Danio rerio: one gene and its partners. The protein of the gene in region 1 purifies or fractionates together with the protein of each later gene. This does not show direct contact. Links are inferred from orthologs where the notes say so. Each region holds a gene or a part of one and is shown in the gene's direction. Other genes may lie near its edges.

Evidence for each region. Proteins that work in one complex are often made in the same cells at the same time.
Region 2: the proteins of sox2 (region 1) and ilf2 purify together in Homo sapiens (affinity purification with mass spectrometry; 3 studies listed by BioGRID and IntAct, with this or other methods). This does not show direct contact. The link is inferred for Danio rerio from reciprocal best matches to the Homo sapiens genes SOX2 and ILF2.
Region 3: the proteins of sox2 (region 1) and ssb purify together in Homo sapiens (affinity purification with mass spectrometry; 3 studies listed by BioGRID and IntAct, with this or other methods). This does not show direct contact. The link is inferred for Danio rerio from reciprocal best matches to the Homo sapiens genes SOX2 and SSB.

Annotation. Positions count from the first base shown.
Region 1 is NC_133197.1:39,474,697-39,478,675, reverse strand, and holds sox2 (transcription factor Sox-2), read left to right. Parts: upstream 1-1,369; 5' UTR 1,370-1,592; coding exon 1,593-2,540; 3' UTR 2,541-3,455; downstream 3,456-3,979. UniProt on the Homo sapiens protein: Transcription factor that forms a trimeric complex with OCT4 on DNA and controls the expression of a number of genes involved in embryonic development such as YES1, FGF4, UTF1 and ZFP206. Binds to the proximal enhancer region of NANOG.
Region 2 is NC_133194.1:40,099,812-40,103,823, reverse strand, and holds the start of ilf2 (interleukin enhancer-binding factor 2 homolog), read left to right. Parts: upstream 1-1,159; 5' UTR 1,160-1,249; coding exon 1,250-1,254; intron 1,255-1,720; coding exon 1,721-1,780; intron 1,781-1,871; coding exon 1,872-1,914; intron 1,915-2,001; coding exon 2,002-2,106; intron 2,107-3,295; coding exon 3,296-3,373; intron 3,374-3,483; coding exon 3,484-3,586; intron 3,587-3,675; coding exon 3,676-3,741; intron 3,742-3,842; coding exon 3,843-3,959; intron 3,960-4,012. UniProt on the Homo sapiens protein: Chromatin-interacting protein that forms a stable heterodimer with interleukin enhancer-binding factor 3/ILF3 and plays a role in several biological processes including transcription, innate immunity or cell growth.
Region 3 is NC_133181.1:4,429,561-4,433,828, forward strand, and holds the start of ssb (lupus La protein), read left to right. Parts: upstream 1-1,415; 5' UTR 1,416-1,483; exon of another isoform or gene 1,484-1,887; intron 1,888-1,982; coding exon of another isoform or gene 1,983-2,003; coding exon 2,004-2,060; intron 2,061-2,149; coding exon 2,150-2,253; intron 2,254-4,268. UniProt on the Homo sapiens protein: Binds to the 3' poly(U) terminus of nascent RNA polymerase III transcripts, protecting them from exonuclease digestion and facilitating their folding and maturation.

The DNA of each region.
Region 1 (3,979 bases):
TTAAAACGACGCTGAGAGAGTGTTTATTTATTCATGCATGCAACCCTAAAAAAATAAGTATTATTGTTGGAATTTATGTTGTTTGTTTTGTGTAATTATTATTTTTTATCTCCCGCTAATTATATAAAAAGTACAGCGACTAAAACTTATTTATAAAGCAATCCAAAATAACTGCGTGCATGTGGAAAATGTTGAGGGAGCACGAGTTTGTATCAGTGTGACCGCAAGAGGACGCTGTTGAAACATAAAACATGCTTTCGTGGAAAAGAAAAATATAAAATAGGCATTTTTTCCTCCTGACATTAAGCCTGTTTGTATATTAGTTCCACTCTTGTCGAGTAAAGTCAACTTCTGCAGGAAGAATGATCAGCTTTTAATCGTAATTCTCGGAGAATAGATGTGTTGGGCAAAAAATAGCTCCTTGTGTTTTTAGTTATTATACAAATAATTGGATTTAATCAAAGCGCCCGTGCTCTTGTTATTTTGAAGGAGGCTGTGCTGAATAAACCCTCTCCCCCTGTCACTCTTCATGGAGTGAATCCTAATAACACAAATCCTTACAACTCAGATGGTCAGTGTAGTCGGCTTTTGTCGTGCTTTTGTTCAGAGTGATGTAATGACAACAGCCGAAACAAAACTACCTATTTGTGATGATTGACGGGCCTCCATTTTCTAATTCACATTCAGCTTGAGCCGGTTGAAGTGTAGTGGCATAAATACAGGCATGTTAGTTGGGATAATGTCTCAAGAACGAGTGTTTTTAAAATGACACCTTTTAAATTCGTGCGCCTGCGTTTACTTTATTGTATTCGTTAATAAAACAAGCCGCTGCTCATTTTTAAATGCGAACTAAATAATAAATAGCTATATTTTATTCGGCTTATTCACGCATTATTTTGGAAGTTTTTAATATTATGAGCTTGCCGTTTTAACTTAAAAAAATCTTTATTTTATTTTCAGTGCTTTAAGAGTTTAACTGATGTGTTGAATACGCAAACTTACACTAAAAACAAAGCGATAAATAATAATAGTAATAATAATAATAATAATAATAATAATAATAATAATAATACTAATAATAAAACTTTAAATGTTTATTTAGAATCTTAAGATCATACAGAGTTTGATTGGAAAATGGTTTGTGTGAAATATTCTCACTTTAGCTCTCTCATAAACACACACACACACACACACACTCACAGCCACTGCCTGTGGCTCTGCGCTGCACTGCTGACCGTCCGTAACCCCGCCCCTTTATGCAAACCGAGGGAGCAGACGCGCTCTGATTGGTCAGCGACAAACCCATTTATATTCGCTGACAGTCGCTCTATGAATGGTTGTCTATTAACTTGTTCAAAAAGTATCAGGAGTTGACAAGGGCTCTGGCGAGGAGGGAAACCGAGTTTGTGTTGATTCTTCAAGACTAAGAAAAGAAGTTTGTGGGCACAACAGGACCTAAGAGCGCTTCTTTTCCCAGCAAAGTTACCTCCAACTGCTAAGGTAACTTCAGCAGCCTCTCCACACACTTTTTGGACTTCTTTATTTTTTATTTTTACGGCTGGTGGGGTAGACTTTCGAGAAAATCGGTTTAAATGTATAACATGATGGAAACCGAGCTGAAGCCCCCGGCGCCCCAGCCCAACACCGGGGGCACGGGGAACACCAACTCCTCGGGAAACAACCAGAAAAACAGCCCGGACCGCATCAAGAGACCCATGAACGCCTTCATGGTGTGGTCGAGGGGACAGCGGCGGAAAATGGCACAGGAGAACCCCAAAATGCACAATTCGGAAATAAGTAAGCGACTCGGGGCCGAGTGGAAACTTCTGTCCGAGAGCGAGAAGCGACCATTCATCGACGAAGCCAAACGCCTTCGGGCTCTGCACATGAAGGAACACCCGGATTACAAATACAGACCCCGGAGGAAAACCAAGACCCTGATGAAGAAGGACAAGTACACCCTGCCGGGCGGGCTCCTGGCGCCGGGCGGCAACGGCATGGGCGCCGGCGTGGGTGTAGGGGCCGGTTTGGGCGCCGGGGTCAACCAGAGGATGGACAGCTACGCGCATATGAACGGCTGGACCAACGGAGGCTACGGCATGATGCAGGAGCAGCTGGGTTACCCGCAGCACCCGAGTTTGAACGCGCACAACACGGCGCAGATGCAGCCCATGCACCGCTACGACATGAGCGCGCTCCAGTACAACTCCATGACCAACTCGCAGACCTACATGAACGGCTCGCCCACCTACAGCATGTCCTATTCGCAGCAAAGCACGCCGGGAATGACGCTGGGCTCCATGGGCTCGGTGGTCAAGTCCGAGTCTAGTTCGAGTCCGCCGGTGGTCACGTCGTCGTCTCATTCCCGGGCCGGACAGTGCCAAACGGGGGACCTGCGGGACATGATCAGTATGTACCTGCCCGGGGCGGAGGTGCAGGACCAGAGCGCTCAGAGCAGACTGCACATGTCCCAACATTACCAGAGCGCACCTGTGCCCGGTACGACGATTAACGGCACGATTCCCTTATCGCATATGTAAAATGAACTCTTTTTACTACACTGCTGGACTATTTTTGTACAGAACACTTCTTTTGGGGAGGGAAAAAGTTGTATAGAGCTCAAGGAAAGAACACAAAACTTTTGCTTTCTATTTAAAAAACAAACAAACAAACAAACAAACAAACTAAAAAAAAGAGGAACGGTAGGAACTCCACACAGTTTTTGTTTTGTTCTCTTCTGATTTATTTTATTATTTTTTTAATTTAGATTTTTCAGTTCTGTTTTGTTTCCAAAAGGTGTATGAGATTTGGACATGGTTGACAAGCGGGGGGAGAATGAATCAAATGTTTTATTATTGCAATCGACTTTTTGTACAGTATTTATCTAAAAAAAGAAGCGTAATAACAACAACGAGATGTAATGTTTGTAAACAGCAGAAAGTTTTAAAAAAATTATAAAAAATTGTGCAAGAAATTGATGCACAACTGATGTTTACGTCAAAGTTTTGCAAAGGCTGACATGAAAACTGGATTTAAAGAGTTTCTCACTGAAGGTACATAGTAATAAATCATTATTATTATTATTATTATTATTATTATTATTATTATTATTATTATTATTAAGTTCTAAATGAGAGAACGAACAGAGGCACTCTCCAGCTTTTTTTAATTTCCACTTGATTATTTTCGGTCTCCCACTCTTCATCTGTTAGATATATGAAGTTTGTGTTCTTTATTTTCTCATGGTTTGTAAATTTTCTGTACATTTTCTGTGATATTTTAAGTTTTTATTTTAAAACTTTCATTTTTCGTAGTTGTAAAATGTGGCCTGTACGCAGTTGCCAACGCTCCATGTATATATTTTAACTAATAACATCATTATAACAGTTACAAGATGAGTTTTTTTTCCAATGCAGTTTGAAATGAATAAATTTTTGAAATTTGGATATTTGAAATTGCTTCTGGTTTTGATTTTGTTTACCATTTGGGTTGCAATTCTAATATGATATTTGTTGTTTGATTTACTCAAACAAAACAAACGAAAATGTCACTTATACGGTTTAATAATGTGCATTCACTAACTCTAGCTCAAACAAATGATTAACCACAAGTTTATGCATTATTTGCATTAATTTGTCTTTATAAGATGGCACACTGACACACGAGTGCAGCTTTTTGAAAGTAAGTATTCCATTGAAATTGCATGCACACGGTTAAAACTGTCTGGCTTTGTTGTTTCAGTCAAACAAATGAAATGTTAGATGCTATTTAAATTTAGTGAGTTAACACCGTTTCTATTTTTTAGTGGAAACGAGGAGCGACACCACAGCGTTTATGTTTTGCCTGTAAATCTCTGCTCTGCTTGGGGACATAAAACGGCCCAAATGCAATGAAGAACGCACGTCAAGGTAGTCATTTACTTTATAAACTCTCTATATTTTTTATATGAGTGCAACGATTTATAAAGCCTGCACGTTTA
Region 2 (4,012 bases), on another chromosome or scaffold:
TTACCTTCTGTCTTATCACTGCATTTAGTTCTGTAGATGGATGTGTTGTGATGATGGAGGCATATTGCTGTAATAACAGTGGAGGTGACTGAACATTTAAAAAACAACCCTTATCTTACTTCAGCACATGCATTACATCTACGTAATTTGCGCAAAACTGCACAGCTTTGGATTTCCTGCGTTTGATTGGCTGTGGAATGTAACACAACTTCTGTCTGGTGTTCTCTGATAAAGGCAGTGTGAGGACTGTACAGGTCCACCCCTGACATGTCAAGTCTCCCCTGCAAGATGCATTTGAAGTGATTATTTATGGAAATAATATTTGTTGTTGTTGTTTTAATCCCTAAAGGTTTTAAATATATAAGACATAAAAGGGTGAAATAATACAGACCAAACTGTCTTCTCTTGTTTATTTAAATTTCTAATAGGGTTCCATAGCTAGGGTCGAACAATGTGGACCTGTTAGTGATGTGCTTGTTTGTTTGTGTATTATTTATTTCAAATGAAGTAAATTATCTGTGTTTGTATATTTCTAATCTTTACAAAACTATAGCTATCTTCAGCAAAGTATAACCATGTGACAGCAGCAGTCTAGATAGAGGTTAAGTTGGTTTTATATACGGAAATTCAGATATTCTCATTAATAATATAATTTCAGAAAGTATTCTTTGCAAATTCCAAATAGGGAAATCATATTAGCAGCAAATGACTATCAAAGTACAACATGGTTCACAGTGAATTAGATACTAATAATGTTGTTTAGAAGTCATGCTTGCATGCTAATTCAGATCGAACATTCAAAGTAACATAGTAAACTATGGTAATCTATCTAGAATGTTGTGATTTAATCCTTACAAAATTTTATGTATGCTATATGCTACTTGTTTGAGCTTATCCAAACAATAGAATGTTTTAAAAGCGAGTAGTTGTCATCCATACATTGTAATGCATAAAAATAGTATTTTAAATAATTTCATAGTTGACTTAAAGACAATAAAGCTGAATGTTAGATAGTTTCTCTTTCTGCTACTGTTATTTCCTCCCTAAATAAACTCGAAAAACCTTAATTCAACTGAGACTTTTACTATTGTGTGGGCTGCTATTTCGGGCTTTTATTCTAGGTGGTTATGCTGGATTTATGAAGTTACTTCCGTTTTCTGAAGCTAGCTACTCGGCGGCTATCTGCAGGCGGAGGCAGAGCTCTTCTCACCAGCGTGTGTCCTGTTAAACTGACAAAACGTCTTACGCAATGAGGTACGAACTGATTTATCATTTATAGTTAAACAATCTTTTTGATTAGGTTATAAACCGAATTATAGCAAAATACTGTATGTTGTGATATTTTATACATTTTTTTCAAAGATGCTAAGCTAACATGTTAGCATGTTCTGCTAGCCCCTTTGTCGGTTTTTAATCAATACAGTAACTAAATAAACACTTTTATTAGTAAAGTTTTTCCGGTTATAGTCATAATTCTGGATTTTCTATACATATTGTGTTATTTGCAAAACGATGTGTTCCTGAAAAAAAAACCGAGAGCGTTTATGAATGAATGAACGCCGTGCTTTTATTCGAACAATACTGCTATCTAATTTGTGATATTTATTTTTTTATTTGGGTTTTAAATTAAACTTTAAAAAATCCAATTTTGGGTTATCGCTGGACATCATTATTTATTTATTTGTATTGCACTTGCTGAAATTACGTTTTTATTTCTCAGAGGAGATCGTGGCAGGGGCCGAGGTGGCCGGTTCGGCTCCCGCGGAGGTTTGGTCCAAGGGTAAGATTTCATGACCATATTGTTTTGACCCCCTTACTTAAATTTGGTTATATTGTAATAATTTTGTAACCTGTGACTTCTCTTGTCTCAGGTATCGGCCCTTTGTCCCTCACATACCATTTGACTTCTATGTTGTAAGTACATTTATTGCTTTTCTGATTTGTGGGGAGGAAAAACAGCCTTTTTAAGCCCAGAGCTCATGACAACTTGCTTTTGTACAGTGTGAGATGGCCTTTCCTCGAGTGAAGCCGGCCTCTGATGAGACTGCTTTCAGTGAATGTCTGTTGAAGAGGAACCAAGACCTCAGTCCAACCCCCTCTGAACAGGTATGGTCATAAACTATTATGAAAACTGCACACTCCATGACTTCTGCCCTTTCATGCTAAAGGGATAGTTCACCCAAAAATGAATGTCGTTGACATTTACACTCGTTCAACTTGTTCCAAGCCTGTTTGAATTTCTTAATTTGGTTGAACACACCAAAAAATGCTGGTTTCCCATATTCTTAAGAATATCTTGTTTTGTGTTTAACAGAAGAAATTCGTTAACGTTTAGTACCCCTTGAGTGGGAGTAAATTATGGAATTGTAATATATATATATATATATATATATATATATATATATATATATATATGAGCAATTCCATGAAAATGTCAACCTTGCCATGAAAAGAAAAATGTTTTTCACCAAAATAGCGAAACCGTTCCTACATTTTTTGCGCAGGCAAGTGTTTTACAGTACTTTAAAAATACTTAAAAATGTCTCTGTCAATGTTTTCAAACTAATTTATTTGATTTACCAAAGTCAAACAAATGGCAATTTCACATCCGTCACATCCATAACGAAAAAGTGTCACATCCATAGCAAAGATTTTCCCTCAAAAATGCAAAAATGTCAAAATAAAATAAAATAAATCAGTTTTGTTCTATAAAGAGCCAACTCTTATCCTTTTGTTGAGAATTATTTATTTTAGGTTGTGCAGTTTAATTCACAGATTTTTTTTAACGAAATAAGTTGTATACTGTAAACTCGCAGACTTTTTTTGTCACATCCATAACACTTGTTTATTTTCCTCATTTAAAGTATAAAAATGTTCACAGATTGAATTTTTTTGATCCCAGAACTCTGTGGTTAGTTGTTTTGGAAAATATAAACGGATGATTCAATATAATGTTAAAATATACTTTCTCTGCAAATTTATGTTTTGAATTTTTACTGCAAATGTCACATCCATAACGCTGGAATCAGCCCTATATATATATATATATATATATATATATATATATATATATATATATATATATATATATATATATATATATATATATTATATATATCCGATAAGGTCTCAACATCCTCTATTAATTTTTAAAGATTGTGAGCTGTTACACATTTGGTTTTGACCTAGAATAGATGCATAAAATGTGATATTGTATTAGGAGTGCAAAAGCAAACCAATTTTTGATTGCATTATTAACAAATTACAGCAAATTTTTTCTTCATTTTTGTCACAGGCTTCCATTTTGTCCTTGGTCACCAAAATTAACAACGTCATTGATAACCTAATTGTGGCACCTGGAAACTTTGAAGTGGTAAGATATTTCAGTAAAACATTATTATTATTATTATTAATGCCTTTCAAAATATTTTATGTATATGTTTTTAGACTTATTTAATGAAAGTTTGATAATCCCTTTTTCAGCAAATTGAGGAAGTAAGACAAGTGGGCTCCTATAAAAAGGGCACCATGACTGCAGGACACAATGTTGCTGACCTTGTGGTTATCCTGAAGATTCTGCCCACCTGTAAGTCTTGAGATTTCTATGAGGCCAACATGTTGCTCCTAGCCCAAGTGTACTTGGTTTATCAGTAATGTTTACGTGTTCTTGTTCAGTGGAAGCTGTTGCCGCCTTGGGAAACAAAGTTGTTGAGACCCTGCGAACCCAGGACCCTTCTGAGGGTGAGTATAGGCTTTAATCTGGCAGACCTGTAGTTTCAGGGAGGGAAAAAAAATCCGACTTGCTTGCCATTCTCACTGATGCATTTTCCTCTTCTCCCCAGTGTTGTCCATGCTGACAAACGAGACTGGATTTGAGATCAGCTCTGCCGATGCCACAGTAAAAATCCTCATCACCACTGTCCCACCCAATCTGCGCAAACTGGACCCAGAGCTTCATTGTATGTCACACTCTTTTAAACATTGATCTTGTTTGTGACTTGCGTTAAAAAAT
Region 3 (4,268 bases), on another chromosome or scaffold:
ATATATATATATATATATATATATATATATATATATATATATATATATATATATATATATATATATATATATATATTAATGTCAAAACTGAATTTAAAAGGAGAAATGTTGTGTTTTCTCTGTTTTTAACACTTTTTAGACTTTTATTTTGTCAATAATTCCATCATATATACGATTCTCAATTTTTATAATTCCTGGCCAAATGCATTAGTGGGCTACCACATTCAAATCTTTATATGATTTTCACTCACATTCACTCATTATTAAGCAATCGATGATTCAAAACATACAAAATGCTTTTAGTTTAATATTCAGTCGTCACGTTCTAACTCTCTAATGCGAAAATAGCATACATCTTTGATCCGATTATGATGAAACAGTTTGAAAAATTGTGAATGTCGTGATAAAACTTCATTTCCCAGAATCCTCCACTCAGTCTTTGAATGATGTCATAACTACGCGACGGCAGACCTCACTTCACGTTCACATGGTGTTGAGTGAGCTGTTTCATTGCTATCGGATAAAATAGAGCACAAACTAATCTTTGGGTGAACTATCCCTGGCCTCTCAAACCTCTTGAGCTATAAGAAAAACATTACTTGTAATATGTGAATTATTAGTAAATGATAATACTTAACTCAAAGGGTTGGGTAAAGTAGTTTAATAAAATATCTATTTAAACTAAGTATTTTTGAAATATTCAAACAAATTATTTAAAATAAAGTGATGTTACATGGGTGAATGAAAATGCACATTCACCTTCATCATTATATTAAGTCTTTTTTTTAAATATTATAATATTTTGTCCAACTGTATTAAATATAAAGTCAAAAATTCCATTGACACTCAAATTAATTTGTTCACATTGTTAAACTTTTCTAAAAAAGAAATGATCATTTAAAAAAGTTACACATTTCTTATATATATATATATATATATATATATATATATATATATATATATATATATATATATATATATATATATATATATATATATATATATCAGTGTCAAAACCATTTTAAAAAGGGAAATGTGTTTCCTGTTTTTAACATTTACAAGACTTTTGTTTTGTCAATATAATAACATCATATATACCATTCTCAGTTTTCATAAGTCTTTTATTCTATTTTTTTTTTTTTTTATTAAAAAAAAAGTCCTGACCAAATGCATTAGTGGGCTACCACATTCAAATCTTTATATGATTTTCACTCACATTCACTCATTAATAAGCAATTGATGATTCAAAACATACAAAATACTTTTAATTTAGCATGTAGTTTAATAATAGCATACATTTTTGATCGAAATAGGATGAAACCGTTTGAAAAATTGTGGATGTCCTGATTCAACTACATTTCCCATAGTTCTCAACTCGGTCTAAATGATGTCATAACTCCACGACGGCATACCTCACTTCACGTTCACTCGGCGTTGAGTGTGGCGTTTCATCGCTATCAGACAAAAACAGAGCGCAAATAAAGTAAGTATGGTGATTTTTGTAGCACTACTTCTTTTTTGGAGTTTACTATGTTTTGAAATTTCAGGTCGGACAGTGAGAAAACAGTGACAGAGCGAGCGCGCGACGTTTTTTCAGTGTCATTCTGCGACATGTGGCGCGTACATGCTCCATAAACGAGTATTATCCCAACATTTATACTATTTTTTTGACTCAATTTGTAGCGTGCAGGCATGTTATTTTTAACGCTCTTTATTTCTGGACATTTGAGTTTAAACAGTGAAGTGTGGATGCTAAAATAGAAAGTGCACAGATCTGCTGTACTCACACGTGGTTTGGAAATCAAACTCGCTCCGGGTTCAGAAGTTCATACAGAGTTTATATTACAGAGCATTCAGTCTCTGTTTGAATACTATGGCTTGTGTGATGTGCGTTTTTAAAATAATTCAAAGCAGAGACCGTTTGTATTCTTGCATTTCTGCACTTCCTTTTTTTAATTAATTGATTAATTAATTATGTTTAGTTTGTTGTGATTCTAGCAAAGATGGCTGACAATCAGGAAATGTCTCCCCTGGAGAAGAAGGTGGCGGAGCAGATTGAGGTGAGATGATGATAATCATGTAAAATATGCTGATTTCCCATCGCCAATTCAGATGAATGATATGATTGTCCATATTTCTGTGTGTTCAGTATTATTTTGGTGACCATAATCTCCCAAGAGACAAGTTTCTGAAGGAGCAGCTGCAGTTAGACGACGGATGGGTCCCTCTGGAGACCATGCTAAAATTTAATAGGTAAGTTTAATAGTGAAAGTTCAGTCATTCATTTTCCTTCGGCTTAGTCCCTTTTTTGTTTAACAGCGGAATGAACCGCCAATTTATCCCCCTACTGAAAAAAACCCAGCTTAAACCAGCCTGAGCTGGTTTTAGCTGGTTGACCAGCCTGGTTTTAGAGGGGTTTTGGCCACTTCTTAGCCTGTCAAGTTGGAAAATGACCAGCTAAAATCAGCATGACCAGCCTGGTTTAAGATGGACAAAGCTGGTTTTGGCTAGGTTGGTCAAGCTGCTTTTAGCTGGTCATCTCCCAGCCAGACCAGCTAAGACCTGGCTGGAAACCAGCCTGGAAGTGGCCAAAACCCCTCTAAAACCAGCCTGGTTGACCAGCTATAACCAGCCAATCAGCCTAGGCTGGTTTAAGCAGTTTTTTTAGTAGGGCATGTGTTTACACAGCGCATGCCTTTCCAGCTGCAACCCAGTATTGGGAAATACTCATTCACACACACACACTATGGACATGTAAGTTTATTCAAGTCATCTATAGTGCATGTCTTTGAACTGTGGGCACCCGGAGGAAACCTACACCAACATAGGGAGAACATGCAAACTCCACACAGAAATGCCAACTGGCAAAGCCTGGACTCGAACCAGAGACCTTCTTGCTGTGAGGCGACAGTGCTAACCACTAAGCCACCGTGTTCCCCCTTAAGAGTGAAATTATTTATTGGAAATTATATTAAATATTTATTTAAGGGCTGAACAATATATTGTTTGAGCATCGATATCGCAATGTGTGACTATTGTGGATACCACAGGATTATTTGTTAAAGAATAAAAGATAAAGATGATATGATGATATTATATAATGATGACCATGTTATTTTATGTTTGATTGTTCAGTTTGTGTATTCGAATACTGATAGAATTCCCAGAAAACCATATGGCACTGTTTATTTCACTCGTATTTTTGCTCTGTCATATTTATATATGCTTGCATTTATTACATTTTTTTGCTGATTTCTGCATATAAAAAGACTTGATCACCCCAGTCAATCTAAACTCGTGAAATCTTCCTGAATAGAGCTATTTACATCATCTAGCAAAATTATATTCATATCGCAAATGTCAGATTTTTCCCCGAAACATGAAGTGAGGGTGGGACATGGAGTATCCCCGGCCCTTTAAAAAAAAAAAAAAAAACCCCAATAATATTTAGTTTTATTACTGTTCAAGGGTGCGTTTCCCAAAACCATCGTTAGCCATTAAGGTCGCAACTTCCGTTGTTACAAACATAGTTTGTTGATTTGCTGTTTCCCAAATCCGTCACTCCAACGAACATTCGCAAAATTGAGCGCTCGCAACCACACCTCTGGAGCTGTATAGAAACAGTTCCTGGCTGTGTTCTATTCCCGCATATCCCCCCTATGCCCTATTCATTTAGAACAATCTAACATTTAAAGTTGGAATTATTAAAAATAAAGCATTAAGGTCATCACTCTTGGGTGTAATTTTTCTTTTGAACTATTTTTACAGTTCAGTTTTAGCAATCTTCATGTTTACACTTGTACTCTCTTCGCAGTGCACTTTGAAAACATTGATGTCATTTGGAACACAGCCTCATGATGAAAGCTATAGGTGACCTATTATTTAAAAGTGGAATTTATGTTAAGTCTCCAAAGCTTGTAAAAAACAAACAGCATTTGTTAATTCTTTTAATTTATAGTAGGTTATTTATTATTTAAGTATCTGTACTGTATATGACATGGGCCTGCTTGTTAGAATTTTCTGCAGTGGTTTACACGTGTCAAATTGTAAATGTAGACTTAAAAAAAAATAAATAAATAAACAATATCCTACTAAATAATAATCATAATCATCATTAATATTATTATTAAAGTATGATTTTTTTTCATTTCTATTTAATATTACATATCATTTTATAATAAATAGCCTCATTTATTTATTTATATGATTTATATATGATATTAGAATACATGTTAGCTTTTGTAAGTGATATGTTTTAGAATAGAATG